4 linked regions of the Danio rerio genome follow. The protein of the gene in region 1 purifies or fractionates together with the protein of each later gene. This does not show direct contact. Links are inferred from orthologs where the notes say so. Each region holds a gene or a part of one and is shown in the gene's direction. Other genes may lie near its edges. The genes, in order: itsn1, ap2s1, eps15 and eps15l1a.

Region 1 (7,692 bases):
TACGAATTTGCTCGAAATAATGCTAAAAGTACCAAATTTCACTTTTTAGTGAGATATAGGTGTCCTAATAGTGTTTTTAGGAGTTTGGGACACATACACGACTGTCAACAGCTCAAAAAATGTGTTTTGGTGTTCCGTGACCCTTTAAAGGTTTTAACAATAGATTTACATCCATCACACTTAAAAACTCATGGATTTGATCATAATATACTTAGCAGCCACAGATCTTTTCTTATAATGTCTGAAACGGTTAGTTCAAGGATCCCCTCATATTGCAAAGTGTAGACTTTTCTAGTTGGTTAGATGGTGTCATCTTATGTGATTGATTCACCACTTACGAGATATATCAGAAACCAAATGCCAATTACTATATCTGAATTTCAGCTTCAGATGGTTTCTTTTTGTCACATGAAAACACAGCGATGTGAACCATAACAATAGCATAAAAATTTTAAGTCCTCTCACTAGGGCTGGGCGATAAATCGATTTATCGATTAACTTAAGTGTGTAAGTTACACTGATTTGTTTGAATGAAAATTGGTTTTCGCTCTACATGCAACACTCTCCTCTGGGTTCCCGTAGTTCCCGCTGCATTTGCCATAAAAAACACTCACAAGCAAGATCTTGCGAAAACTCTGAGGAAAGTTGCACTCTGTGAAATGGAAAAGTACACCGACGCACAAACACACCCGCCTAAAAAGGCATAATTAAGGGCTCTCAGCTTGTGTCTCATTCGTCATGAGACACAAGCATTTTAACCTGCGCTCCACACCTGGTGTTTCTCACGATGAGAAGTAATAGACAATTAATAGACAAGACACGAATATGAAAGGAACTGTTAACGATCTAATGTTGGAGTTCAACATTGCTGTTTCTGGATAAATTACATGACCCAAAGAAAAAAACTCGCTCAATGCAGCGAATAATCCAGATGCAGCCGGCTGACGCAAATAAATGCAATAAAATGTAAGCCACTGGCCTAGCATGAGTAATTAATATAAAATGAATGAACCTCTATATGTATGTACATGTTGAAATAAACCGTATAAAAATAATGGGGAAATAAATCACCTTGAAAAAGGTCCCCTTTTAACAATCATTATGAGTTTACTTTCACTGTAATTTTATAAATGGTTTAATTGATATTATCATTATTATTATTATTATTATTATTATTATTATTATTATTATAAAAGTATTGAATACAATCTTGTTAAATTTGATCTTTTAATGACAGCTAGCAAGGTTCTTGAGGTAAAGGTTTTTTTTTCTCTTGCATTTTTCTATATTATATAATTATGATATGCTTAAGCTAATTATATAGGTTAATAACCTTAAACCTTTTTTTTGTAACCCTTAAAAAATTGTGTGTGAATAATAAAAAAAAAGCTATACATCATATACTATGCATGCATTTCTGCACATATGCAATGATAAAATTAACATTTTGACTCTGGATGGATATAAACCTGGTGTTGGAGACCTTTAAAACTAAATTAGCAAACATGTAGGTCACATTAAAGCTTCCTTTTGCAATTAATTTACCATTAGCAACAACAAGCAGATGTGTAATTTATTTGTGCAACTATATTGAGCTTAAAAGTTTGACATCTGTTGTGCTTTTTGCCTCTTCTCTAGAATAAGAAGTCACCGCCCTACCTTGCACTTTACTTTTGCAATTTGACCTTATCATGTTAACAACAAATTTAAAACCGCTACAATACATGCCACATGAAAGACAAAGTCATGGTCTGCAAATGTTTGATACGTTTTATTTCCACATGACTCTTTTGCAATTAGAGACACTTGATGTTTCCATTCACTTAATGTTTTTTTTGTGTGTGTGCGTAGGAGAATGCGCTCTGGTAGTGGAGTGTCTGTGACTAGCATGCACTCGACAGACTTGCGGTCTCAGGAAGAGCCAGAGGAGGAGGAGAAAGAGGCCGAGAAAAAACTTCCAGGTCAGGAAACATTGGTTAAAGTTCATGTGGTCTCAGATGACAAGTATACCCCAGAATTCAATTTGCACATTTTTTTATATGGATAGTCTTGATTATTTTTGCATTAATACCTTTCAGTGCAATGTGTTGTGAGATCTGATACCAGTTACCTATATAAATGGAGAACATCCACTGCCAACAGAGGCTGTGTTAACTGTACATTTTCCACCATTAACTTACTTTTAAAAATGTTTTTCGTCATTTAGGCTGATAAAATATCAGGTTCCTGGTTTACATTTACCTGCAGTACTTAAACAACATTATCATAGTACACAATACACTTGCACAATTACACAATTGCAAACTTACACACACAAAAAGATCTTAAAATAATAGTTTTAATAACTCATTTCTAACAATGGACTGATCTTTGCTATGATGACAGTACATACTATTTTACTAGATGTTTTTCAAGATACTAGTATTCAGTTTAAAGCACAATTTAAAGGCTTAAAGGTGCAGTAGGTGATCTTCCACAATGCTAACAGCTTAGCATAAATCTCTGAATCACAGTCCCTCCCCTGTCATTCAGAGCCACGCCTTCTGAAACACGAGCATGCGCACCTTAAAGATGACAGCAGAAGAACCCTCTCTCATGTGTTAAAAGCGACAAGTGCTTGACTGGTGGCATGCAGGAATTACACTCATTACTAAACCAAACTGACATGCTATTTCAGAGCGGATATTCAGAGTAGCATGGTAAACAATAGAAGGACAGCACCACAGGTTGTCATTGTTTAAAAATGAACCACTGGGATGTGAATATAAAACCATCTTCACCTCAGTAAAGCTGGCTAGGCGGAATAGCGCTATTTACTTGTGTTTTGTTGTTAATCTAAATAAAATCTACATTATAGATGATGTAAAAAGACCTTATGAAACTGAAAATAGTCACATCAATCTTTCATCGGAAGATTTTAGTGGCTGAACAAGACTTCTGTGCGGATATAACCCATTTGTAACAACAACATCAAACGTTACATCAGCTTTGCGTGAAGCTAAAATAGTTTTTAAACAGAACATTACCTGTCTTAGAGAAATACTTTAGCCATGGTGTCATCCTTTCTCCAGTGTGAAACGCTAACTCCAATATTGATTCAGGTTTTTATAAAGTTTTGATTCAGCATGTTTTTACAGTCTCTCTCTCCCTCTCTCTCTCTCTCTCTCTCTCTCTCAATTCAATTCAATTCAATTTAATAATTGCTTTATTGGCATGACAAATGTTACAAATGTATTGCCAAAGCAGTTATAAAGTTTACATAAAAAGTAACATATATATATATATATATATATATATATATATATATATATATATATATATATATATATATATATATATATATATATATATACAGTACACACAGTAAATAGTAGTAGTAAAAAAATATATTTATATATAATAATTAAATAAAATATCAACAATACATCATATTATTCAATATATCACATTAATATTCAATATATTATATTATTATTCAACATATCATATTATACAAATCAATACAAAAATAGATCAGAATAAACTGTACATTTAACAATCAACATTTTAGGATAAAACAGTAATAAAAACAATAATAATCAGTATATTTACAATGATTCATTTAAAATCACCTAGGTGTGTGTGTGTGTCTCTTTCTCTCTCTCTCTCTCTCTCTCTCTCTCATGAACGCGGAATGCACAAACAGCGGAGCTGCGTACAAACGGCGGAGCAGTTGTTCAAATCTGCATTTGCTGACAGTTTGGGCTACTTATCGGAATTATGGGAGATGCCAGCCCGACTCTATTTAATTGGATATTCATTTTTTAGTTTTATATCTTATTCAGAGTATAAAAATATGTATAAATACATTTAGATCATTTACTTTAATCAATACTATTGGGATGTGTAGAGACTTTCAACCAGCACAGCAAAAAGTGTTTCTAGAGACAATCACCTGCTGCACCTTTAACTAGTTATTAGGCAAGTTAGAGTAATTGGGCAAGTCATTTGTATAACGATGATTTGTTCTGTAGACATTTGAAAAAATATAAATTGCTTAACGGGGCTAATAATATTAAAAACTGCTTTTATTCCACCCAAAACATAAGACTTTTTCCAGTAGAAAAAAATATAGGAAATACTGTGAAAATGTCAAAAATTTATATATTAAAAAAAGAAAAAAAAATTCACAGGTGGGCGAATAATTCTGACTTGCACTGTACATGCACACTGATACCTGTTATTGTTTTCACAAATATGCATGCATAATTTAAAGGGGCTAAATGCTAATTAAATGGTCTTTTGCAGCATGAAATGTTGTACATCAATCTCCTAAAATTGTTTCCATAATTTCCCTTCAGTCACATTTGAGGATAAGAAACGAGAGAACTTTGAGCGCGGAAACCTGGAGTTGGAGAAACGTCGACAGGCACTTCTGGAGCAGCAGAGGAAAGAGCAGGAGCGACTGGCGGCGCTGGAGAAAGAAGAGCAGGAGCGGAAGGAGAGGGAACGACTGGAGCAGGAGAGACGCAGACAGCAGGAGCTGGACAAACAGCTGGAGAGACAGAGGGAGCTGGAGCGACAGCGGGAGGAGGAGAGACGCAAGGAGATCGAGAGAAGAGAGGTGCGTTCTCAAGTTCTCGGAAATCCATGAGTGAAAAGTAGGGCCTGACAGAATCTGCTGACATTTGTTGCTATTTCTGCTGAGAATTTTGTTAAAAATCTGTGGATTTATGCGGAAATGTTGTGGGAGTATCATAACTAAAAACTTAATATATGAAATAAAAATTAATAACTTTTATTTAATGTTTTTACAATGCAAATCGAATTAGATCCACTCAAACAAAGCAAATCTTTCATATAATAAATCGACTAAACGACAGAAAATATTACTTTACAAACTGTATTGTAAATAAATCAAATGAACATTTTCATATCAGTCAATAATATTACTGAAAATAGTTTAAAAACTGAATAAATATAAATTTACACAAGTAAATAAATAGACTCAGTGATGGGACAAAAATCCGTGGATTTCTGCGCTCACAGATTCCGTGTGGGCCTAGTGATAAGTAGTGCTGAACAATATATTGTGATAAGTATGGTTATCGCGATAATAGCATATGCAATGATTGTATCGCTGTTGTGTGTAGTTGAATTACATTTTATTTAATACATTGGTTGATTTTAGCTACAGTTAAAGTCAGAATTATTATCCCTTTAAAATTACTTTTAAATTTTTACCCAATTTATTTTCAACTGAGTTTTTTCAACACACTTCTGAGCATAATAGTTTTAATAACTCATTTCTAATAACCGATTTCTTTTATCTTTGCCATGATGACAATATGTGCTATTTTACTAGATATTTTTAAGATACTATTGACTATTGTTCAGCTCAAAGTGCAATTTGAAGACTTAATTAGGTTAATTAGGCAAGGTATTGTATAATGATGGTTTGTTCTGTAGACTATCGAAAAATTCATCTGCTTAAGAGGACTAATAATATTGACCTTAAAATGTTTTTTGATTTTATTGTAAAATAAGTTTTTTAGGGAAATATCATTTAATATTGTTTTTATATTGTAAGAAATACTATTATGTTGGCGCCAGTGGTGTAGTGGTTAGTACAACGGCACATGCACTCGCGGCGACCCGAGTTCGATTCCGCCTCGCAGTCCTATGCCGATATTTCCCCTCTCTCTCTGCTTCCCATTGCTTTCCTGTCAATTCTCTCTACTTTCCTATCCAATAAAGGTGAAAACCCCGAAAAAATTACTATTAAAAAAAAAAAAAAAAAATGCTATTATATCATGCAATATTCAACAACATAGTCGCACATTTTCCCAGTGCCTTGAAGCCAGAGTGTTCAGCACTATTGACACTATCATTAACCCTTGTGTTATTTTGTGTGTGCTCTCACCATGATGCATATTTTATTTGAATGTGGACATTTAAGTACTGTTAGACAAAAACACTTTATTTTATGTTTTTAAAAGGAATCACCAGGATGAATTTGAAGTTATTTATCAAATATTAAATTGAGAAAAATCATGTTTGACTTTGTATTAATGTGAGCCATCTCTTAATGAATTATGAAGTTGTTCTATCATGTAGTGTTTTTATGCAAATTGATCTTGCCATGAAATAGCCATAAGTTGCTTATGTGGCAATAAATAAATAAATGATTTTGTGTGTTTGAAGGCTGCTAAACGGGAGCTGGAGCGACAGAGGCAGCTGGAGTGGGAGAGGACGCGCAGACAGGAGCTGCTCACCCAAAGGAACAGAGAACAGGAGAACATCGTCCTGCTCAAAGCACGGAAGAAAACTCTCGAGTTTGAGCTGGAGGCTCTGGCATGTGCACTTTCATCTCTCAGAAAAATAATTGTCTAAACTACTTACTTAGAATGAGCCGAAACAACACAATTCTTGAGATATTTTTTGGAGACAACTTACTTTTTTATGTTCTATCCACTTAAACTTGTCAAAACCAATGAACTTAATTTATTTGTGTTGGGACATCGTGAATGACTTGTTTTTGACCCTGCATTTTTACAGTGGTGGTTAACACTTTTAAATACGTAGGGTATAAACAATTAATTTTGCTTGATCAAATAACATGCTTAAAATCATCTGAAATAACACAATTCTCAAGTTTTTTGGGGAGCAACTTAATTGTTTTCTGTTCAGTTCACTTAAAGTAAAAAAAAACGAACAAATTTTAGGTTGTTTTAACACCAATTGATTGCATTTTTACAGTATGTAGAACAAATTTAAAGTGCCATATATATATATATATATATATATATATATATATATATATATATATATATATATATATATATATATATATATATACACAGTAAAGTCAGAATTATTAGTCCCCCTAAATTATTAGCCCCCTGTTTATTTTCAACACATCTCTAATCATAATAGTTTTATTAAGTAAATAATATTTGACTAGATATTTTTCAAGACACGTCTTTACAGGTTAAAGTGGAATTTAAAGGCTTAACTAGGTTAATTAGGTTAACTAGGCAGGTTAGGTTAATTAGACAAGTTATTGTATAACGATGGTTTGTTCTGTAGACTATCGAAAAAAATATATGGCTTAAAGGGGCTAATAATTTTGACCTTCAAATGTTTTTTTTTATTAAAAACGGCTTTTATTCTAGCCAAAATAAAACAAAATAACACAAATAAGACTTTCACCAGAAGAAAAAATATTATTAGTTGTACTGTGAAAATTTCCTTGCGTTGTTAAACATCGTTTGGTAAATATTTTTAAAAATCCAAAAAAAAAAATAAATAAATAAATTAAAGGGGGCTTAATAATTCTGTGTAATTCTGACTTCAAGTGTGTGTGTGTGTGTGTATGTGTCTGTCTGTCTGTCTGTCTGTCTGTCTCTGTCTGTCTGTCTGTCTGTCTGTCTGTCTGTCTCTGTCTGTCTGTCTGTCTGTCTGTCTGTCTGTCTGTCTGTCTGTCTGTCTGTCTGTCTGTCTGTCTGTCTGTGTATGCGTGCGTGCGTGTGCGTGTATGTGCGTGTGTGTGTGTGTACATTTTTTTTAATGTAGTGTGTAATATACAAGGTTTTCATGGGCCTTAAATAGCTTTTACCTTCTGATCTTTCCCATAGTGAAGTAGTCCACATTTAAAGTAAATTTACAGAAAAGTTATTTCTATAATCAAATGGTTGAATCGGAAGTATTCAA
Region 2 (7,692 bases), on another chromosome or scaffold:
CGTTGTACTAATTTGTGTCTAATTACGTTTCAACACAAATCTTGCTACACACTGGTTTGTCTAAACTAAACTGTATTGTTATAATGCCCACTAACATAACAAGCAAGCACGTGACATGACAGGTTTATGTTGAGGTAACGTTAAAGTCGGTGTTATGTTCGCACCTTTGCTAATTTTTGGACAGTGACAACTTGTGACACGGTCTCTATTGTGTTTACCACAATACTTTGAATATTCGGTCTGAAATCGCATGTAAATATGATTTCAAACCGACATTAGCACTATTTTATTGTTTTCAATATTTTTGTTGCATTTTTTTCAGATAAAATTGTTATAAAAGGTGTTATAAAGGTGTTATAAAATTACTCTTATTGTTATCGTTGATTGTGTTGACCGTGCTGTTGTATAAGTTTTGACTTGTGTGTATATCCATCTGTGTTTCCCCTTTCTATTATTTGGTTTTTGGTTTGTGTGTTTGTTGATTGTTAATATACACACACACACACACACACACACACACTCACACACACTCAGACACAGTAAGAGGCAGTAGGGGTTGGACGCCACACTTTTCTTTTTGTAAATATTTTCACCTGTTTTTGTTCTTAGTCAGGGAGATGGGTGTATATTTTTATTTCTGTTATTTTATTAATTGTAGTAAGTTACATTTGGTTGTTTAGTACTTTTTGTTTGTTATTTTTCTGTGGGTTCACCCCGAGGTAGTTGGCTTCACATTGTTTATTTATTTTTATAAAAGAAAAAGACAACTAAAGAGACCCGACACAAAAGGGTCATTAAAGTGTATTTTATTTGTCGGGTGTTTTTTTATGTTGCGGCCCTGACCCTAGACCAGGGTGGTAACATATTCAAACTTAAATGTATATGAAAAATAGAAGTCCTACCAGCAAAGAGATGACATGAAATATATAGCAACAAAAACAAGAAAACTGTAGAATTCTTAAATCAAACTTACAAACTTTTCTACCCCTTTCATGCACCATTCCTCCCATCTCACACCCATATTTTCTGAGGCCTTTAATAAGTAGATGAATCAAGACAGATACATAAATAATAAACCAATTAAAAAATAATTATAAAAAAAAAATATATATATATATATATATATATATATATATATATATATATATATATATATATATATATATATATATATATATATACATGTATATATATTAGGGATGCAACGATTAACCGATTTCACTATTAACCGCGGTTTAATTCATCATGATTAATTAAACGTAAAGGCTTCTCAACACCGCAATTCTGAATAGTACAAAACTTCTGCAAGTAAACAAAGTTACTCCAACTCTGCACAAGTTTGAAGTTTCGAGCTTGTACACTGTGGCTGAGGCTTAGAAAAGGGCCGTTCACATATTGTGTCTTTGCATGCACAAATTCGTTATTACTAGGGATGCTCATTTCTGTTAATTTTGCTAACCGACAACCGCCGCTCATTAATCGGTTATTAACGGTTAACTGGTCAGATACTATTAATTTTATATTAAACAAATTGACGTGTCTATTTTGTGTCTGACACATTAAATATTGCATAAAATACTGATTTATTTTTAAATGCTAGCATATTAATAACAGAACAGAACAACAGAGCATCTTCACACACCTGCAGTGTTTAGCACAGAAGAACAGAATAAACTAAATAAAATGAATGAAATAAATAGGACTGCCCTAAATAATTTTCCACTTAAATAATTAATTTATATTACAAATCGAAAACACTGACTGATTATTTTTAATAACCGGCATATAGGCTGTTTTTTCCAATCATATTTTTGTCTTCCGTCAAATAAAATAGCAGACTTCCTCAAATCACTCGCTCCACGAAAAATATGCATTTATTTAATGCCCCGCTTGTATTATTATAATCACAAAACCTTTTACATTTTTAATACAAATCATTATTTTAAAGATTATGTCTTGCTATGGTTTCCTTTCTCTTCATCGCGGCTCAAGTGCGAGCGCTGCGTGATGAAAAGACAACAACAACGCGCGCAAATGTTGACTTTTTGTAAACAGTTTTGTTGTTTAAATATGATATTGCATTAATGTTCATACATGCTTTATAAGCTTTAAAATAAAAGGTAAAGCCTATTTGTTGCGTTTATGACGCAGATCCAGGTCAACATCAGTGCTTTTTTTGGCATCAACACGTCTGTTTCAAGCAATTTTCTTCTTCCATTTAGCTTCTTTGGCAAATGTGTCTGTAGGCACGGGTTATACGTTGTCGTCCCGCAAGTTAAGTATGTCTTGCAGTTGAACAAGTGGCCGACCACAGCTAACGTGGTTTTTTCATTCCAAAAACGCGAGGTGCACCTCACTGCCCTTATGTTGACAAGGAAAAAAGAAGAGAAGAAGCGCGGTCCTCTTATGAAACGACTGAATCAGCTGGGTATCGATTGTGCAAAAGTGTTGCTGTATATGTTGATAAAATTTTAATATTTAATAATATTATGATATTCAAGATTTGTACATTCATACAGCTCTGGATAACTTAAAACAGTGATTAGACCTTCAGAGCGGCAATAATGTGTCCTGAAGTAAAGCGAAACGGCTATAAACTCCAGCAAGATAGAGTGATTATATACAGAGCCATATACCTTTATCTATAAATAAAGTATAACTATAGAAACTGTGTTCATCTTAACTGAATGCAAAAAATACTTTTTAAACTTCATTTTAAGTCCAAAGAGAAAGGACTATTGTTTGTTTTTATTAATAATTTGCTTATATATTATTATTATTACCAAGCAGAAATAAACAAAACTTTAATATGAGGAGTTTCCAGGTGATTTTTTAAGCTAGTAGTGTTTTAAAATAAATAAATGCATAATATTTTTCAGAGATGGGTTGCGGCTTGAAGGGGATACGCTGTGTAGAGCATATGCTGGATAATTTTGTGGTTCATTCCACTGTGGCGACTTCGGATTAATAAAGGGGCTAAGCCGAAATGAATGAATGAAAAAATGCAAAATAATCGTGATAACCGTGTAACCGAGATTATTTCTCAGAGTAAAGTCGTTCAACCAAAGTCTAAAATCATATATATATAAATGGGTAAATATAGAAGAAGAAAATATGAAGTAAACACTAAAAGTCTCCCTTTTGAAATTCTAGTCAGCAGGTCCTGAAATGTTAAGGTTCTCAATGACAGACAGTATAGGACTTCATGTTTTGTTAAAGTTCAGTGATCCTTTAAAACAATGTCTCAGTTTATCTTCCAACCCCAACTGCACAAACATCAACACGCCATGTCATTGCCTTTACCTCCTTGTTCGCCAGGCACGCAATTCTCCTCAAATGGAAACTTATGTCCCCTCCATCATCAGAACACTGGATTAAAGAGGTTCTACATTGCATCTTTGCTGAGAAACATAAGCCATTATTTAATAGACTGTGAACGATGTTGTACTTTGATAGCCATTGGCTGCTAATATGGTTCGCTTATTTAGAATTTGCAAAGAATACTTTACTGAAATTATATTATCAAGGAAAAACTTTGAATATTTGCCAATATAAAACCAACTTTACCCCAATAAGGTTTATGTTTTATGCTTTACTGACTGATTTACAAAATTTTTATTATTTTACTGTTTATTTCCAGATCCGCTTTATCCTCATCCAGAATCGGGCTGGGAAGACCAGACTGGCCAAGTGGTACATGCAGTTTGATGACGATGAGAAGCAGAAGCTAATTGAAGAGGTGCATGCTGTAGTGACAGTCCGTGATGCCAAACACACCAACTTTGTTGAGGTACAACACTCGCTTTTAACATTTTTCTCAGGTCTTGGGTTAAAGTTAGTTTTATATTCACATAACATTGACAATTTGTGACACCCTTCCCCAAAACCGCTTGCAAAGTATGACTTCAAAGCATCATTATCTCTATTTAATTAACTGTGAACAATAATATACTTTGATCAGGGTTCATACGGTCATGGAAAACCTGGAAAAGTGATGGAATTTTGACATGACATTTTCAAGTCCTGGAAAAGTTTTGAAAAAATGGAAAAACCCACAAGGTTTTGGAAATGTCATGAAAATGTGTTTACCAATTACCTGTATACCTGCACGATATTGGAAAAATCTGACATTACCATATTTTGTATTTCTGTGATGTACATTGCGATGTGAATACAATTTCACTTGATGATTTAACAGGTTTATTTGGATTGATTGGGGGAATTTTGTAGGGGAGTGAATCTCGACTAATAAATAACAAATAAATTACAAGCATAGATAAATAAAATATAGTGAAGATATAGGTGAATTATAGGTTTCAGGTCTTCATTGTATATTATTTAAACTTTATTTACAAAATAGTTACAAAACATTTCAGTCACAGGCCTTAAAGGGATAGTTTACTCAAAGATTAAAATGTACTCACTATTTACTCGCACTTCACTTGTTTCAATACTATAGGAGTTATTAAATTGGATTCTTTTTGTGTTCATAAAAAAAAAAAAGAAAAAAAAGAAAACGCATAAATGTTTGAAACAAGTGATCGGTGTAATATAAATGGGAAGTAATTTTTGGGTGAACCATCTCTTTAAAAATGCATGCTGACGTACTGATGCTGAACTTTTACTCCATTATGTTTAAACTCTATATTAAACTTTAATCATTGCAACATTGCATATCCTGCCATGTGACTATAGTGGATGCACAAATTGCGATATCGATGCTGAATTGATACATTTTGCTGCCGTAACTTGAATTTAGGTTAGTTGTCTTTACTTCTTTACTATCCTTGGCCAAAAACTTGCTCTCACAATCTATCAATATGAAAACAAATGTAAACAAAATAGATGGTTGCGTGTTCTATGATGTGCTTTAATAAATTTTAACATCCTTGTTTTTCTTATTATTTCCCATGTACATGTTGACATTACATGAAACATTACGCCATGAAAATGTACTTGAAAGTACTGGAAAGTCATAGAATCCTGTTTGATGGAGTTTGACTGCTCATATGATTACCTTATTTAGAATTTGCAAAAGATACTTTTCTGAAATTATATTAAGAAGGTGAAAGTCCCGATGTGCGAATATAATACCAACTTTACCTTTATTTCTTAGGTCAGTGTGTGAGTCCATTACAGTTAACTACGTTGGTTGCAATGGTTTATCATGGTTTTTGGTTGACTGTTTCGTTATGGTATGTGCAAAGTTTACAAATGATGGCTGCAGACAAATTCAAAGAACAATAAACCTTTTTAAAATTTAAAATTTTTTACATTTTTGGCTATTTAGGCCATCTAAGTTTTTTGCAAGAAAATTGGCATTTGTTATTTGGGTGACTGTCTGAATTTACATTGAGTGTCTGCTGAAACACTAATGGCTGTCATGTTTTTTTGTCTCACCTGCACTTTTGCCGTTTATCTCCATCACTTGCCATGCTGAATGTTGAGAAACTCTATATTTACTTACTAAGAGGTGATTGGACAGGTCTTCACACATGCATGCAACATATGTGAAGTGTAAAGCTGGTTTTATACTTTTGCCTGGCGCACTTTTGATGACTGTGTGTGCATCTCACAAAATGGATAAGGCTTTTATACTTGCCGTGTTCGCTGTTGTGATACTCTTTAAAACGACAGGGTGGCGCCGAAAAGAAACCCACCAGTAAGACAGATTGATAAACAGAGAAGTGGAAAGTTTCCAGAATGACATCATATCGTTAATATAATACAACTTTTTAAATTATTTTTAGGATTTTTATAAGTTATTTAAATGATTATAAGGATTTTTATAACCATTCAAGATTTTTTTTAATCAAACTTTGATGCATCACTTGCTTTTGTTCATATCTTCGGCAGTTTTACCTATTAAAGTTTATTAAAATATTAATGACAACAGAACATGGGTTGCTATACAAATATATATTTTTATTATGTCAGGATTAAATGAAAAAAAGTACACTTACTAAAAAATACAGATGTTTTTCTTTAGATTTAGCCCACACCACAGTTCACACATTATTGTCTGTCTAGTTTCTGTCCTGTACTTATACTAAACAGGCAACAATGGTCCAACATCCCTGACCATTGTCATCAATAAAGCCTAGAAAAAACAGGCCATCAGTATGCTGTAACCGATAGGTTCAAATATTCCTTCCCAGTTATCAAAGAAATAATTTGTTCCTTAATTATAGTTTTGTAACTATTAAATTGTTTTCAGTTCAAAATTATAATATATACGTCAGTGTAAAACCTATGAATGGTGGAAAAGCATATTCTGCAAACTTGTACCTGGATCTTCACTTTTGCCATGGCCTCTTTTGGCTTTAATAAACTCTTCAGGTTTTTCCAAACTTTTTAACAAAAACTTTCCTCCTTTCACAGGGCTGTTGCAATTTCTAGCCAAGAATTAATTGATCATTAGGTTATTTCAAATTAAAAGCCCATTGTTCCACTATTGTGCTGAATCGTTCTTTATGCAGAACCGTTCCATTCCGTGCCAAACCGGGCCAGACAGCACGGATACGGTTTCATTTTCCACTGTCATGCTGCAACAAAGCTCTTTGAAAAATTACACAAACCTATTAGTAGTTACCTTGGTAATACAATGTAAACGGCTCCTTCGTTGAATTAAATTTAAATAAACTACTTTTTTGATGTTCATAAAATCGAAAGCAACTGGATAACTGAGCACTGTTATGTCGCTTAATCAAATAGGGGTGCTAAATATAGGCACATGTCACAGCACCCTTATTTATTTAGAGGTCATATGTAGGCACACACAGAGTCTGCGTGCGCAGAATTCCTCAGATTTTCCACAGAATTTCGCTGATTTCCGAAGATTTTTAGCCCATCAATAATTCTGTTTATTTACTTGGGTAAATCTAAGTTTATTTAGTTTTTAAATTAATTATAGTAATATTATTGACTAATATGGAAATGTTCATCTGATTTATGTACATATATATAATATACCTTTTAGTAGATATATTACATGAGAGACTTGCTTCGTTTACCAAATAAAGTGGATCTAATTGAATTTGCATTTTAATCATTAAAAGTTTAAAAGATATTATATATTATTTCACATTTTAATGTTTTAGTTGTAATATTCCCAAAATAATTCTGCAGAAATCTGCAGATTTTTACCAAAATTCTCAGCAGAAATATAAAAAAAAGGATTTCGTCTGGCCCTATATGTTGCGCGGCGGCTCTGGTTAAATCTTATTTGGGGGGAAAATGACCAAAATGTAACGTGATGATTGGAGGGGAGATGAATAATATATATCAAATCTCTGAACATAACAGAAAATTAAACAACGATAATGCAACAATAATAGTGCATTTGTATTATAGTGGCAAAGTATATTTTTGGACAGACCTTGTCAAAAGTGAGCGGGCACTTTCACTAATAAAAAATATAGCACTTAAATTATTTCATTTTTAACAATCAATTAAATTACACAGCAGTTTTATATCAAAAGATGATAATGATATAAAATATACTACATTTTGATGGTAAAATGTAAACCTTTAAGCGATGGCTGCTATTTGTTTCAGTATTCAAACATTAAATAACGAATGCAGCAAGTGGAATAAAATACGAATATGAAACAACACAATATATCAGGATATAAAGCATATAAAGGACTATTCTGTTTAGCAAAATGCTGCTCTTTTATCTTTGTATTTTTA
Region 3 (7,692 bases), on another chromosome or scaffold:
TTTTATTTCATTTCGAGACATGTCATTTGTTAAGAATACCATTTTAATTTTTTTAATACATGTCATTAAGACAATGAATTTTATTTTTATTTTGAGATGTTATTCATGACATGCATCAGCAGTATTTTCTTTTAGTGTGAGACATGTCATTCAAAATAAATAAAGTATTTAATTTTATTTGACTTTATTTTGAGACCTGTCATTTATTAAGGCAATAATATTAAGACAATGACTCTTATTTTGTTACATTTTTATGACACATGACATACGTCAGTAATGTTATATTGAGGCATGTCATTCATTACAACAAAAACGCTTTCTATTTTGTTTTGTGAAATGTCATTAACACAATGAATTTTTTTGGTCTTGAGACGTCATTCATTTAAAGAAGGACATGCATCAGCAGTAATTTGTTTTATTTTGAGACATATCATTCATTAAGCCAATGATTTATTTTATTTTATTTTGATACTCGTCATTAGTTCAGTTCAATTCATCTTTATTTCTATAACACTTTTACAGTGTAGATTGTATCAAAGCAGCTTAACATAGAAGTTCTAGTACATTGAAACTGCCTCAGTTTATTTTCAGAGTTGACATTCGTTAAGACAGTAGCGCTTTTATTTTATTTTGAGACATGTAATTCATTAAGACAAGGAAACTTAATTTATTATTATTTCATTTCGAGACATGTCATTCTTTAGGAATAGCATTTTTATTATAAGACATGTCATTAAGAGTGAATTTTATTTTATTTTAAGACGTCATTCATTTAAAGAATGATTAGTTTTGATTTAAGACATCTCATTCATTAAGACTTTTATTTATTTATTTTATTTTGAGACCTGTCATTCATTAATACGTCAGCAGTATTATATTGAGACATGTCATACATTCAACAAAGACGCTTAATTTATTTTAATTTTATTTTGAGAAATGTTATTTGTTAAGGCAGGGGTGTCCAAAGTCAGCCTTGGCCGGCCAGTGTCCTGCTGACTTTATCTCCAACTTTCTTCAACACACCTGCCTGGAAGTTTCTAGTATACCTAATAAGAGCTTGATTAGCTTATTCAGGTGTGTATGATTAGGGTTGGAGCTAAACTCTCCAGGACACTGGCCCTCCAGGACCGAGTGTGAACACCCCTGTGTTAAGGCAATGAATTTTATTCTTATTTTGAGATGTTATACATTGAAAGAATGACCTGCATCAGCTGTATTTTTTTTATTTGAGACATGTCAATTATTAAGACAATATTTTATTTTATTTTTCATTTTTATTTTTTTATTATTTATTTATTTATTATTATTATTTTTTTTTTGGAGACCTGTCATTCATTAGGACAATGACACACATACGCACTAATGTTAAAATACATTGACAGATGGATACCTAATGAGCCGGAAAAACAATGGCATGTGTGTGTGTGTAAGCTTACAGGAAGGGAAAACAGTCAGATATATGTGTGTATGGATATTAGATGGCATATTGACAGCACAGCTGGTCTCGCTCTCCAGGGTTCTCCTTTCCTGTCATCAAACAAGGCCACTTATCCTGCTGATTTGCTGTTTTTTTTCCACATCTGAAAATGTGCCTGTGACACCTGTGATCTCTTGCATGTGCAAAAAGCCTATTTAAAATGGATCTCGCTCTTGAATTTCTTTAGTCTTTTTGAAGTTCAATTGATGTGCATTTTAAGTTTCAAATGTTGTGTCAAAAGTAGTCCTGATTAATGATCTCACCTATGCAACAGTGCAAAATAAAGAAAATTAAAAATCTATATTTTAAGCTGTTACAGGCAAAGGGCCTCTTACTAATTTTAAATGCGATCAATATTTGTTTAGACTCCTAATAGATTAGCCTTGAAACATGCAGGGCTTGTAGGGAGCTCGTAACGTTAAATAATTCAATAAGAGTGTGCCGAGTTTTAGCTGGTGCCGCTGCTGTGTTTAAAGCCGGGATGATGAATAGATTCTATTTCGGGGTCTGTCGGCTTCCAGCGCCGCTTCTGATTGGAGAAGGAGACGCTTGTGCTTTAGACTTGTGAATTTTTCCGTCTTCACCCTGAGCAGTTACTCAGTTCTGCTGCTGAAGACCTGGTATTTTTAGCCACACTCAGTCAGAGTCTCACACTGCTGTAATGGTACCTTCAGGTGAGAAGGAAATTACATCTTTTGGATTTCCATTGTTTTTTCTAGAAAATGCATTACTGAAGCTACTCCGTTCAACAGTTTATTGACCATATGATCTGTTAGAAACAGAAAACACACCATTTGTTGATATATTTTGTATGTATAGTTGTTAAATTATGTATATTATTTATATACATTCTGATATATAAAATAATATAAACAAAAACACATTTTTTATATCCAATTGCCAGTGTTTTAATAATCAGATTCCTCAAGAAATGTGTAATTTTCCCTTTGAAAATTCAGCTTCATCACTAGAATAAAGTAACAATACTATAATATAATATAATAATATATTGATAACATAATTGATACATAATTGATATTGATAACATACTATAATATAATACTATAAAATAATACTGTTGTTTGTTTGCAAATTTATGTGTGGACCCTGTTCACCAAACAGTGATGCGTTTGACTTTGCATTATTTTATCTTTGCATCAGCTTACTGCTTATGCGAGGTGTTTTGAATGCAGCATAAATGGGCGGGATGGTAAATTTGACGTTGTTTTTCTTTTGGCTGCTGTTTCCCTGTCTCAATCAAATTGTTTATTATTTGATCAAAAAGGATACAAAAAATGTTGTGAAACTCTCCTATTCGCTAGGCTTTAAGTTTGCCCAACTGTGGCAACTTCTGTTTCAGGTATAATCCATAAATGTAAAAAATGTCTATCAGTTTCTATTCAGTTTTTTTCTATTAACTGATATTTAAATAACTACTGTTATAGCCACAACAAAAGCCAAGTATTGAACTTATTAGCTCTTGTAAATTAAAAATTTAAATGGGTTATGTAATTTTTAATAAGAGAAGTAAGGTGGTATATTTTCTTGTCTTACCGCCACAAAAAAACTGTTTAAATGTAAAAATTTTATATTAATTTTATTCTATATTTCTTTCTTTCTTTTGTTCTTTCTTTTTTTCAACTTAATAGTAACTGAAAGCTCTTAAAATGCATAAATGTATTAGAATTTTTCAGTTGTATGTAATCATTTGAACAGAGGGAGAGGATGGATGGATAGATAAATGAATAGACGGATAGATGAATAAACAGACGGACATATAGATAGATAGATAGATAGATAGATAGATAGATAGATAGATAGATAGATAGATAGATAGATAGATAGATAGATAGATAGATAGATAGATAGATAGATAGATAGATAGATAGATAGATAGATAGATAGATAGATAGATAGATAGATAGATAGATAGATAGATGGATGGATGGATGGATGGATGGATAGACGGACGGACGGACGGACGGACGGACAGACAGACAGATAGATAGATAGATTTTTTTTATGAATTCGTTTTTTTCTTTTTGTTCTTTTATTGTTGTTCAAACCATTCCGAATGAACCAGTTGCAAACAACAAAGAAATTGTTTTGTTGCCAAACTATTCAGACGTCGCCTTCGATAAAGTGGGCGATTCTTGGCCAGAATAAGCTGCAGTGTGGTCTTAGACTCCATATCCCTGTTACAGATGGCATCTTCAGGCTTCACAGTCCTCCTACATGTCTACACTTTCCCTACGCATTCCGTCATGTGCTGCCGGGAAATATTCAGCTCTGAGTTCCGCATTTTAGTAGTTTCGGCACAAGGTCGCACTGAGGCTGTGAACACAAATCATAAAACACATAAATGCAGTGTACTGTGGTCTCATTAATGTCACAAACAAAAAATGAAATCAGTCACTGGATAAGGTCATAGCTGATGCTCAATACTCTGAAGCCTACATGAGGTTGAACATTACACTTTCCATTAAGAAGGAAGTGTACCTGCACTATTTTTTTTTAAATAATTTAATTATTTTGTATTTTTAATTGTATTTTATTTAATTTATTTTATGATTTTATTTTAAATACTTTATTTTTAATTATTTTATTTTTAAGTAATTTTATTTTAATAATATATTTATTATTTTGAAAAAAAATCTTTTTAAATGTATTTTATTTTAAATACTTTATTTTTTTATTATTTCATTTTTAATTTATTTTTTTATTTAAATATATTTTATTTTAAATACCTTATTTTTTCCTAATTTATTTCGTTTAATCATTTTAATTTTTAATTACATTTTTTCTTAAATGTATTTTATTTTAAATACTTTGTTTTAATTTTTTTATTTCATTTAAATTTTTTTGAATTTTTAAATGTGTTTTATTTTAAACACTTTATTCTTAATTATTTTAATTTATTTTTAACTATTTAATTTCATTTTTAAAGGTATTTGTTATTTTTAAATGTATTTTATTTAAAATAATTTATTTAATATTTTTTGTTGTAAATTTCTTTATGTATTATTTAAATACTTTATTTTTATTAATTTTATTTTTTTATTATTTCATTTCATTTTAAATTTATTTTTAATTGATGTTTTATTTTAAATTTTTAAATTTTTATTTTTTTAAATATTTTTTACATCTATTTTATTTAAATTATTTTATTTTAATTACTTTATTTTTAATTGTTTTATTTTATATATTTTTATTATTTTGTTTTTAAATGTTAGGTCTGTGTTCTTTCAGTTTGAGCAAGGATTAGAATTAATTTGTTCATTGCGTAAATTTATTTTTCACTTCTGTGTTTAACATCTTGGTAAGTTCTTCCATCTGAATTGGTTTCTTCTGTTAAATGCAATAAAAGATTTTTTGAAGAATTGGTGCTACCAATTGCCTTTTTTTCTACTGTAGAAGTCAATCAGTACCAGCATTCCTCAAAATATTTTTTTTTGTGAAACTCATGAAGGTTTAAAATCCCACGAGTTTTGTTTAACTATTCCTTTAAGCTGTTGTGCATATAATTCCTTTCTGTCTCTATTCTGTTTTGTTTACTTGGCCTTTTGGTGTGTCTTTTGTAATAGGTTTAAACACTTTTACCATCTCAATATCTTTCCTCCTAGTGCGTTTTATATTCACTTTAGGAGCAGCATTATCTCTCTGCAGTGTTGTCAGTGTGATGAACTCCTGTTTATTATTAGATCAATGAAGATATGTTGATTGTCCTCTAAGAACGAAGCATCTCTTTCCCTCAGGACCTGCAGGAGGAGGTTCAGAAGGGCTCAGATGAGCTGGGCCGCCTGCAGGCCGAGCGGCAGGAAGTGCAGGAGAAGCTAGAGAGGCTGGATGAGCAGAAACGCTCGCTAGAGGAGCAGCTCACGCTTATTCAACAGCAATGCAGCCAGGAGAGCCAACTGGTAAGAGAGAGACAACAATATCAAGCCTGTGTATGAAAGATACTGACCTGAAAATTTAGAAAGCACTTAGCCAAAGACCAGGGTTCATATGGTCATGGGAAACCTGGAAAAGTTGTGGAATTTTGACATGACATGTTTTGGAAAAGTGATGAAAATTAGTTTAATGAATATCTGTATGCTTGAATATTGGTTAGTTGTCTTTACTTTTCTGTCCCTGGCCAAAAACATGTTCTCACTTTATTAGTGTTGTGTAAGCATTATCTAAATAAGTATTACATTGATATAAAAATAAATGTAAACTAATGCCATTTACCACATATACTTAGACTTTACATGAAACATTAGGTCCTGGTCTTAAGTGTCCTGGAAAAGTCCTGGAATTTTAGTCGTAAAAATGTGTTTCAACCCTAAAAGCCAAAAAGGACTTCTTGTAAATTAGTTGTTGCTGTAATATTTTGTGTTAATATTAAACTGTTTATTACATTAAATTGTATATTGTAATTTATGTAATAATTAATTCAAACTAATTTGCTGATTGTTTCACAACAAATTGGACAAAATTATTTAGAGCAAACTTTATATATGGAACCTGTTTACAAGGCGGTGATGCTTTTACTCGTCATCAGCATCTTTATTCCTTCAAAGATTTTAATACGTTAATTTTTTTAAATGTATTTTTAATAAAATGCATTTACATTTATAAAGCTATAATTTGTATTATATAATCCGTGGATCAGATTACCACTTATGCTGGGTGTTTGTAATGCAGCGTCAATGGGCAGGACAGTAAATTAAACATAGTGTTTTTTTCCTGATTGCCATTACCAATCTCACACAATTTTTCTTTTTTATTGTTGGGAAAATTGTTAAAACACCATTGTGGATTTTTATGATTATTATTATTATTATTATTATTATTTAATCAAATAGAAATACAAAAAATTGTGGTACTTTCCCATTCATTGTGCTCTAAGTTTGCCCAGCTGTGACAATTTTCGCTTCTGAGATACCCGGAAATATAAAAAAGGGTTTCTAAATAACTAATAGTTTTAAATAACTACTATTTTAAGTAGTTATTTATATAACTACTATATTAAGATGTATAAGCAATAATGCCTATCCGAGTAGCTGGTAAGCTGGGGTCACTTGGAGTTCCAAATATACCTATTAAGAAACAGGGCAATAATGTCTCCCCTAGGGCCTCATTGATGGATTTAAAAATCAATGTCCAATAATTTTTTAAAGAAGGGCAAGACCAAAGCATAAGTGTCAAATCAGCTGGAGAAAACAAACATCTATCACAAGACGCATCTAATCCAGGTTACATTCCTGCCAACCGTGCCTTGCTTAAATGTAACACTTTAACACTTTATAAGCCCGAACCTAACAGAGGATGATGATGCATGAACATTTCTGAGTGCCTCCTCCAAAAAAAGTCTCTGATAATTTTAAGTTCGTCTTTCCATCTAGATTTAATTTTATCCACATTATATTCTTTCAGAGATATGAGTTTAGCGTATAATGTGGAGATCAATCCTTTATTAAAAAAATTAAGAGTAAGATTATAGAGTTATTAAAACTATTAAAACCGGTTTTCATCTTCACTGGCAAAAATATGACATAAAATCATAATAACAAATGTTTTTGTGTTACTTTACTTAATTTAACAAGTTAATCAGGTCTCAACTAAATTTGTTTAGCATACAAAACGTAATTAATGTAATGTCATTAGTCAATCTGACCAATTTAAGTTGAGATGACTAGAAAAGTAAGGGCATTCGCCACATAAAGCATATGCCAGAGTAATTGGTGGTTCATTCCGTAGTGGCAACACCTAATAAATTAAGGGCTAAGCTGAAGGAGAGTGACTAGAAATGTTCAATTGATTCAACTAAAGATTTAAGTGTATGTAGGCATTGCAATGCGCACTTTTGCATGCTGTTTTGAATGCGTTTTAGACTTTCTGATCCTAATCTCCCATGCAGTTTTGCATTACATTTTCATATGTAAATTTGTATACCAAAGGAAAAAAAAGAGTACTATTTCACTTTTGTTTCACAATTTTCACTCGAATGGATAAAAATGAGCACTCAATGTAGTTCACTGAGTATACTGATCTCAGATCTGCTTTCTGCTTTTTCCCCACTTGTCTGTGTTTGTGTGCGTGTTCAGATCCAGTCGTTGCAGGTGCAGCACTCTGAGCAGGAGCAGAGAATCAGTGACTATGAGGAGGAGTTGACCAGAGCCAGAGAAGAGCTGCTCCATCTGCAGGAGGAGACGCGTCAGCTGGGAGAGAAG
Region 4 (7,692 bases), on another chromosome or scaffold:
GTCCCAAATGACACACTATACACTATGCACTTATGCACTATGTTCTTATGCACTTACACACTTAACAGCATTCAAACCGGGCTGTTTTACCGATATTTACAGTGCAAATGTTACGGGTCTTGTTAATCGGATTTAGATTGCTAACTGATTAGTTCGCTTTGTATCTCACTTCAGCAAAAAATACCCACATAACATCTATGTTATCAATGAAATTTGCGATAAACATTCAGCTGCAAGAACATTTAAAGTTTATATCTGTTTATATGAATGGGAAATACAGTAAAAAACAGTTATACTAATGTAATAACAAGCTAGCCGCAATATTATCTGAACATCATTTACACTAAAACTAACTGTCAAGGTGATTTACATACACAAATCTTCATTATATTGGAATATGTGGATAGAACAGTAATACAGGTTGATGACTTTTGTTGAATAATGGTATTATGCAGATATGTGGTGCGTTGTATTAAAATGGGTGTTGTTATGAGTTTAAGATGTTTAAGTGGGATGCTGTAACATTTAGGTGAGACAGGTGTAATGTGTGCGACAGATGAAGGATGAGGCAGGAATCAATTCAGTATTTAAGCTTTTTTTTACTCAATAGTTTAAACAATGTGTAACAATAATAAATGAAAAAAGTATCAAACATTTTCAATTATTCTCTTTAAACAAAAACAACGAGTGTAAGCCAAATCAAAGAAATGAACAAAACAAAACAATTCTCCTTAAATCTAAAGTACTAGGCGTCAAAAAAGAAGTAATGAAAATAAAAACTGAGATCTTGTACACGACACCCGAACTAAACTAAATAAACTACAAAACTCAAAATTACACTGGTGGAAAACACTCAAACTAATCTTACAAAAATCCATCTAAACTAAAACAAACCTAACAAGACGGTTAAAGACTCAGTTTAGAATCGCACAACAACCAGTACATTATTTTACTCAAAGCCAACGAAGTTCAACAAGCAAACTCGAATTACTACAGTAAACTGAGATAATGAATCACTAAACAGATTAAGCATGTCAAAAACAAATTGTGTGGAGCACAAAAGGTATTCCGAGGCAGAACGCACACCACATACTGGTCTGTTGAGGCTTTAAATGCTTGCGGCTTGTCCGGAGATTGGTGGAACCGACACAACAAGGGTTGAGTAAGAAGCGGAGAGGGTGAGAAAAATAAATACACAAAGAAAAAAACTAACATCAACATGGGTCAGTTATTACCAGCATCAGTAATCTCACTGTATGTAAATGTATCTAAAAATTTACAAAGATGTGTATAAATGTGTATATCTGTTATTTTAGGATTACTCATGTACCTATTTGTTGCTATTACTACTTTTAATTTTTCATTGATTTTTCTTTTTTGTTGCAGTTTAGGTTTTGATAATAGTTATGTACTTTTTGTGACTACTTTTTAAATGTTTTTTCTGATAATGCCATGGCGTAATTTTCCATTTTCATTTTTGGTTACTCTATTTTAAGGTGTCCTTGTTACATTGTAACTCCAACTACTAAGGAAGAATATTAAATTGACATAAGCACCGAAACCTCCCCCTTTCCATTATGTGGGCAAAGCTGCGGTTGTTAAGTGCGTGAAGTGTCCATCATTCCACACTTCATATTACCGGTTGAATAAGTGCATCATCCGGATAATTAAAGTGCACTTATGATTTTTAGAGTTTTCAATGTGAATGCACTTCTTGCACTATTTATACTACAAAATGCCATAGAATAGTGCATAAGTGTGTGATTTGGGATGCACCTGACCTAATAGGGTTACTATACTATCAGAATGCAGGTTTGGTTTTGGGTTATTTGTAGGGATGTAACGGTATCAGAATTTCACGGTATGGTAATACCTCGGTATGAATGTCACGGTACTGTATTTATTGAATCATTTACAGGAAAAAACAAAAACCCTTTAATACTGCAACATTTATTTATTTATTTATTTGTTGTTTTAGTTTTTTAATGTAATATTTATATTTAATTTTTAATTACAGTTAAAGTCAGAATTATTAGCCCGCCTTTAAATTTTTTTTTCTTTTTTAAAAATATTTTTCAAATGATTTTTAACAGAGCAAAGAAATGTTCACAGTATGTCTGATAATATTTTTGCTTCTGGAAAAAGTCTTATTTGTTTTATTTTGGCTCGAGTAAAAGCAGTTTTTAATAATAAAAATACATTTAGTCAAATAATATTTACTGTCATCATGTCAAAGATAAAATAAATCGGTTATTAGAAATGGGTTATTAAAATTATTATGTTTAGAAATGTGTTGAAAATATCTCTAAAAATCTCTCTGTTAAACAGAAATGTGGGGAAAAAATAAACAGGGGGGCTAATAATTTTAACTTCAACTGTACAAATAAAAAATGTCAACTAACAAAAAGCATGTTTAGAAGCTTTAGTTAACAAAAACACTACATTATATTACATAATACTAAAAACATATATCTCAATCCGACATATTATCAGCATATTCTATTTAAATGGATTTAATCCTAAAGCTTCTCCCGTTTTCCTCTGTTTCTTAGCTGTCAAGCGGAAACCCTGTATATGAGAACTTTTACAGACAGGTAAGGACATTTATGTTGCATCTCATTTGACTGCATTTTAACAATACCTTCATACTGAATCAATATTGAGCTTATTTCATTCTCTTTAATGTGCTTGTAAATAAAGGTCGACCCAGGAAACACCGGTAGGGTTGGACCAACAGAGGCTGCCTTGTTCTTGAAGAAATCTGGTCTGCCTGACATCACATTAGGAAAGGTTGGTGTTTTGGTAAAACGATTAAATCTTAATTCTGGATAATTATAATCCCCAGTTACCTTCTCGTCTCCTCTCAGATCTGGGATTTAGCTGATCCAGATGGCAAAGGTTTCTTGGACAAACAGGTAAAGCTGTTGTAGCTGATTAAATTGAATGTTAAACAGTTATATGCATGACACATCAGAAAAAAAGGAGGACATATACTGCATTATTTGTGTTATTTATGTGTTTTGTTTTGTTATTTTTTATTAATATATTTACTATTAGTTACAAACACATTAAAACAAACCAACAGATAATGCCCATTTTAACAATGCAAAAGAGAAAAAATAAAAACAATTAAATAAATGAGCAGAAATATGATAATAATAATAAATAAAATAAGTAAATGAATTTTAAAAAACTAAATTAATTAATAGAAATTAAAAATAGATAAATAGTTCAAATTAGTATTATTAATAACGTACATTTGATCATTGAAGAGCTGTGATATCCGATCCTGTCAGAACGAGACAAGCGCAAGAGTTAAGCGCGAAAAAACAAAGGAGAAGCCAGAAAAACAACAGCAAATGATGCTTTCAGCAACCTAAAACATTAACAAACTGCCATGTTTAACTATGATCATCACCTTTCAGACTATTATGCACTCGGAATGACGGAATTACTCTCTAACAGAGGTTACATGTGCTGCTGAATATTACAGACACAAATGAGAGGTTTGCACTGTCTGTGGGCTATATGTTGCCTGTTGTTTTTGAACCCAAATAAGGCCTAAATGTATGCTGTGTGTAGTTTTCGGTAATTAATAACAAATCGGAGACTGTAATGGTCTGCATGGGTTTATATATGTTGCATTTATTCATTTATTTTATATAACTGCAGACGTTACTGTTGGCTATTTCGCTCTGTCATTGATCTGGAGTTATAATCTAATCATGTTCATAGAAAGGGTGTTAATGAACATTTATAGACAAGTATTTATGTGTATAAAGCATCAGTTTTGTGAGAAGTGCTTCTCATATGATCCTATGAACGACCCGTATGGCTTTACTGTGACATTTCCTTAAGTAAAAATGACGTCGTCTGAAACTCTGTCATACACCTCGCACACCAAAAGGATATCCTTTTGGCAGTGGAAACGCAAGCTTGATAAAGTGGAAACGGTCAATAAGAAGTCCCGACTTCCATACAGAAAAGCCAATTGTCAAGCTTTATAGCCTGGTGGTTTTTTGGGCGAGGGGTCTGTACAGTTGTTCACGTTTGTTACAACAACGTTGTTTGGCGATTTTGTCATGACTACTGTTGAGAAATAAGATTGTCAAGTTCAAATTGAGATTATCATGTTCATATTTATTTGGTAAAAACTAAAGTTTTTAATGTAATATTTTAATATAATTTATTTCAGATTTTTATTCAGTTAACATGAATCTTTCGCTAGCTATAGTTATCAACAAAAGCTATGCATTATGTAGCATAATAGTAAAAAATGTTTACATTTATATGGAATTTAGCAATTGTAAATTGGATGCTGGTGGCGCGGTGGTGCAGTGGGTAGTGCTGTCACCTCACAAGAAGGTTGCTGGTTCGAGCCTTGGCCGGGTCAGTTGGCATTTCTGTGTGGAGTTTGCATGTTGTCCTTGTGTTGGCGTGGGTTTCCTCCGGGTGCTCCGGTTTCCCCCACAGTCAAAAGACATGCGGTATAGATGAATTGGGTAAGCTAAATTGTCCGTAGTGTATGAGTGTGAATGCGAGAGTGTGTGGGTGTTTCCCAGTGATGGGTTGCAGCTGGAAGGGCAATCGCTGCGTAAAACATGTTGAATAAGTTGGGGGTTCCTTCCACTGTGGTGACCCCGGATTAATAAAGCGCCTAAGCCGAAAAGAAAATTAATAAATGAATGAAATTGGATGCTGACTTGATCTGTTATGGTTTGTTTGTTAGGGATTTTACGTTGCTTTGCGTCTCGTGGCATGTGCACAGAGCGGCCACGACATCAGCATTTCCAGTTTAAATCTCCCTGTTCCTCCACCAAAATTCGTAAGTCTCATTATATATAGTTGATATTTTTGTATATGATTGGTATGAGCTCACAGACATTTTCTTTGTACACTTTTTATTCCAGAAGGATCACAGTAGTCCATCACTGAGTTCAGTAACATCTACTAATGAGAGTCACTGGGCTGTGCGGGTAATTTAACTTTGCTTGTCTTTGTGATTTAGTATTATAAAAGATTTTGTAATATTTTTTTTTGTTCTTAATCTCTTTGTTTATTTTTCAGCCTGAAGAGAAGAGCAAATTTGATGGTATTTTTGAAAGTCTTGCCCCGGTGAACGGATTACTGTCTGGTGAGAAGGTCAAACCAGTACTGATTAACTCCAAACTACCTGTAGATGTTCTCGGAAAGGTAAAAAAAAAAAAAATAAAATAAATTGAATGAACCCATAACCCTAAACTATTTATAATGATAACAAATTTTATAAATTATTATTATTAATTTGTACTAATTATTATAATTTTTTTATTTTTTAAAATAATAGTTTGTATTTAATTGGGATGTTTTTCTGAATTTATTGGAATAATATTTTATAATAATGAGATTATTAAATCTGTCTGTTTGATCAGGTGTGGGATTTGAGTGACATAGACAAAGACGGACACTTGGACAGAGATGAGTTTGCAGTGGTGAGTAATTCGTTTTTCAATGTTAAAATCTTTATAGCGTAATACATACTATCATGTCAACATACTGAGTGCAGTATGCAACTCAAAGTCAGTTTAAAATGCAAAAAATTGTCCATTCGAATCTGTCATCTTAAATTATGTTTTTCTTTTGGAGCAAAACATTTTTTTATCAGGATATAGAAAAGGCTGAAAATATTTGACATTAATTTCAATTTAATTTACTTTCAATTTTAATGTCAGTTTAACAAGAAAATAATTGTCATTTTAAAAGTTTTACACTTTCACAATTTTTTACCTAACAATAAGTTTTAGTAATTTAGACTATAACACAATTCTTGTGATCAGTTGTTCTTTTATATGCTTGTTTTATATGTGCAGCCGGTAATCGGTTGGTTTCATATTTTCTAAATATACCTGAATGATGATAGACTGGTATTTCAGCCATATTGATATGTTATTATTAAACACTCATATTATCATATTGTATCACTCAATAAATGTTTGGTGTATATATTGATGCACATTTTGATTCATACAATTAGAATTATTGTCATGTTTTTAACATTGAATGATTTTTAAAAAATAAATATAAATATTTTTTCAAATATATTTTTAATCATTTAAGGCAAGAATCTAATGGGCTGTTTCCACTGAGCAGTATGGAGTATGGAGTTGAAACAACACAATTCTTAATTTTTTTTGGGACAACTTAGTTATTTATCTTCATTTTTAATAGTGTACAGTGCATGCGTATTTTCTATCAGAAGTACCAAAATAGCAAATCATACCCTACCGCTTTTGTAAAGGTAGAACAACAGTACCTATTATTAAAAAGGGGGAGCAAGACTCACTACTGAGCACTTATTGGTTCAGAGAGAATTGCCAATTGCACATGTAACAAGACAGCCACTCAAAAAATGGTATTTTTTGTGGGGACAACTTCATTATTTTACGTTCAATCCACTTAAATTTGTAAAAACGAATAAGTTAACATAATTCTTTCATGTTGTCCCTACACAAATCTTTTTGTGTGGAACCCAGCATTTTTTCAGTGAGGGAGGTAAAAGACAGGAAGCACCATTTTTAAATATATCGCAGTAATATTATGAAAGCATGCAAGAATGAAACCATGTTCTAGAATTAGTGTCTCTTCTGGTGACAAAAAAGCCACATATCCCCAGAAGCAAGAACAGGATCTGCTGTATGTCCTCCATTGTTGTTTATGTGGCCGTTCCTTAATCAGACTATTGCTCAATACAAACTAAGCATAAGTAGTATGTTAGTTTAATTTATGTCACTTGTTGTACAGGCAATGCATCTGGTGTACCGCGCACTGGAGAAGGAGCCTGTGCCGTCCGTCCTGCCCTCCTCACTCATCCCTCCATCCAAAAGAAAGAAGTCGTCAGGGTCATTGTCCAGCATGGTGCCAGTGTTACCGGGAAGCCCACCGCCACCTAAAGACAGCCTGCGCTCAACTCCCTCTCACGGCAGCATGAACTCGCTCAACAGCGCCGGAAGTCTGTCCCCAAAACACACGCTCAAATCCTCACAGGTACATACACTCAGGGTGTCTGCAGATCCTTATAATATCTTAAATTCCATAGTATAATAATAAGGCCTGGGTGGCACGGTGGCTCAGTGGGTAGCACTGTCGCCTCTCAGCAAGAAGGTTGCTGGTTCGAGCCCCGGCTGGGTCAGTTGGCATTTCTGTGTGGAGATTGCATGTTCTCCCCGTGTTCTCGTTGGTTTCCTCAGGGTGCTCCAGTTCCCCCCACAGTCCAAAGACATACCTGGGCTAGCTTATCAAGCTTTTACTAGGTTTTCTAGAAACATCCTAGCAGGTGTGTTGAGGCAAATTGGAGCTGAAATCTGCAGGACACCGGCCCTCCAGGACCGAGTTTGGACACCCCTGAAATAGATTTCGCTTATGCAAGCAAATCGCTCTTTGTTATTTGTGTTGTGTGCTTTTGTTTTGAAAATTCGATACTCTAAAATGATAGTTTTCTATTGGTCCTAAATTTCATTACGTTTTGTATTAAAAAAGGTCTTAAACAGTCTTAAATATAACTCTTAGAAACCTGCAGAGACCCTGACACTTATATGGAGGATTTACCCAACAATTAAGGCAAGGCACGTAGTTTTTGATGCACCTGTCATTTACGAAACTTCTGAGACTACAGTTTTTTTCACAGTAAAATGTAAATAAAACATTCAAAACTTT

The links.
Region 2: the proteins of itsn1 (region 1) and ap2s1 purify together in Homo sapiens (co-immunoprecipitation; 3 studies listed by BioGRID and IntAct, counting the BioPlex papers as one, with this or other methods). This does not show direct contact. The link is inferred for Danio rerio from reciprocal best matches to the Homo sapiens genes ITSN1 and AP2S1.
Region 3: the proteins of itsn1 (region 1) and eps15 purify together in Homo sapiens (co-immunoprecipitation; 3 studies listed by BioGRID and IntAct, with this or other methods). This does not show direct contact. The link is inferred for Danio rerio from reciprocal best matches to the Homo sapiens genes ITSN1 and EPS15.
Region 4: the proteins of itsn1 (region 1) and eps15l1a purify together in Homo sapiens (affinity purification with mass spectrometry; 4 studies listed by BioGRID and IntAct, with this or other methods). This does not show direct contact. The link is inferred for Danio rerio from reciprocal best matches to the Homo sapiens genes ITSN1 and EPS15L1.

Annotation. Positions count from the first base shown.
Region 1 is NC_133176.1:50,353,033-50,360,724, reverse strand, and holds part of itsn1 (intersectin-1), read left to right. Parts: intron 1-1,851; coding exon 1,852-1,961; intron 1,962-4,340; coding exon 4,341-4,603; intron 4,604-6,183; coding exon 6,184-6,333; intron 6,334-7,692. UniProt on the Homo sapiens protein: Adapter protein that provides a link between the endocytic membrane traffic and the actin assembly machinery. Acts as a guanine nucleotide exchange factor (GEF) for CDC42, and thereby stimulates actin nucleation mediated by WASL and the ARP2/3 complex.
Region 2 is NC_133190.1:9,938,222-9,945,913, forward strand, and holds part of ap2s1 (AP-2 complex subunit sigma), read left to right. Parts: intron 1-3,640; coding exon 3,641-3,790; intron 3,791-7,692. UniProt on the Homo sapiens protein: Component of the adaptor protein complex 2 (AP-2). Adaptor protein complexes function in protein transport via transport vesicles in different membrane traffic pathways.
Region 3 is NC_133183.1:18,310,011-18,317,702, reverse strand, and holds part of eps15 (epidermal growth factor receptor substrate 15), read left to right. Parts: intron 1-5,232; coding exon 5,233-5,394; intron 5,395-7,566; coding exon 7,567-7,692. UniProt on the Homo sapiens protein: Involved in cell growth regulation. May be involved in the regulation of mitogenic signals and control of cell proliferation. Involved in the internalization of ligand-inducible receptors of the receptor tyrosine kinase (RTK) type, in particular EGFR.
Region 4 is NC_133197.1:15,668,083-15,675,774, reverse strand, and holds part of eps15l1a (epidermal growth factor receptor substrate 15-like 1), read left to right. Parts: intron 1-2,552; coding exon 2,553-2,594; intron 2,595-2,700; coding exon 2,701-2,790; intron 2,791-2,867; coding exon 2,868-2,915; intron 2,916-4,729; coding exon 4,730-4,825; intron 4,826-4,910; coding exon 4,911-4,976; intron 4,977-5,067; coding exon 5,068-5,193; intron 5,194-5,411; coding exon 5,412-5,471; intron 5,472-6,780; coding exon 6,781-7,023; intron 7,024-7,692.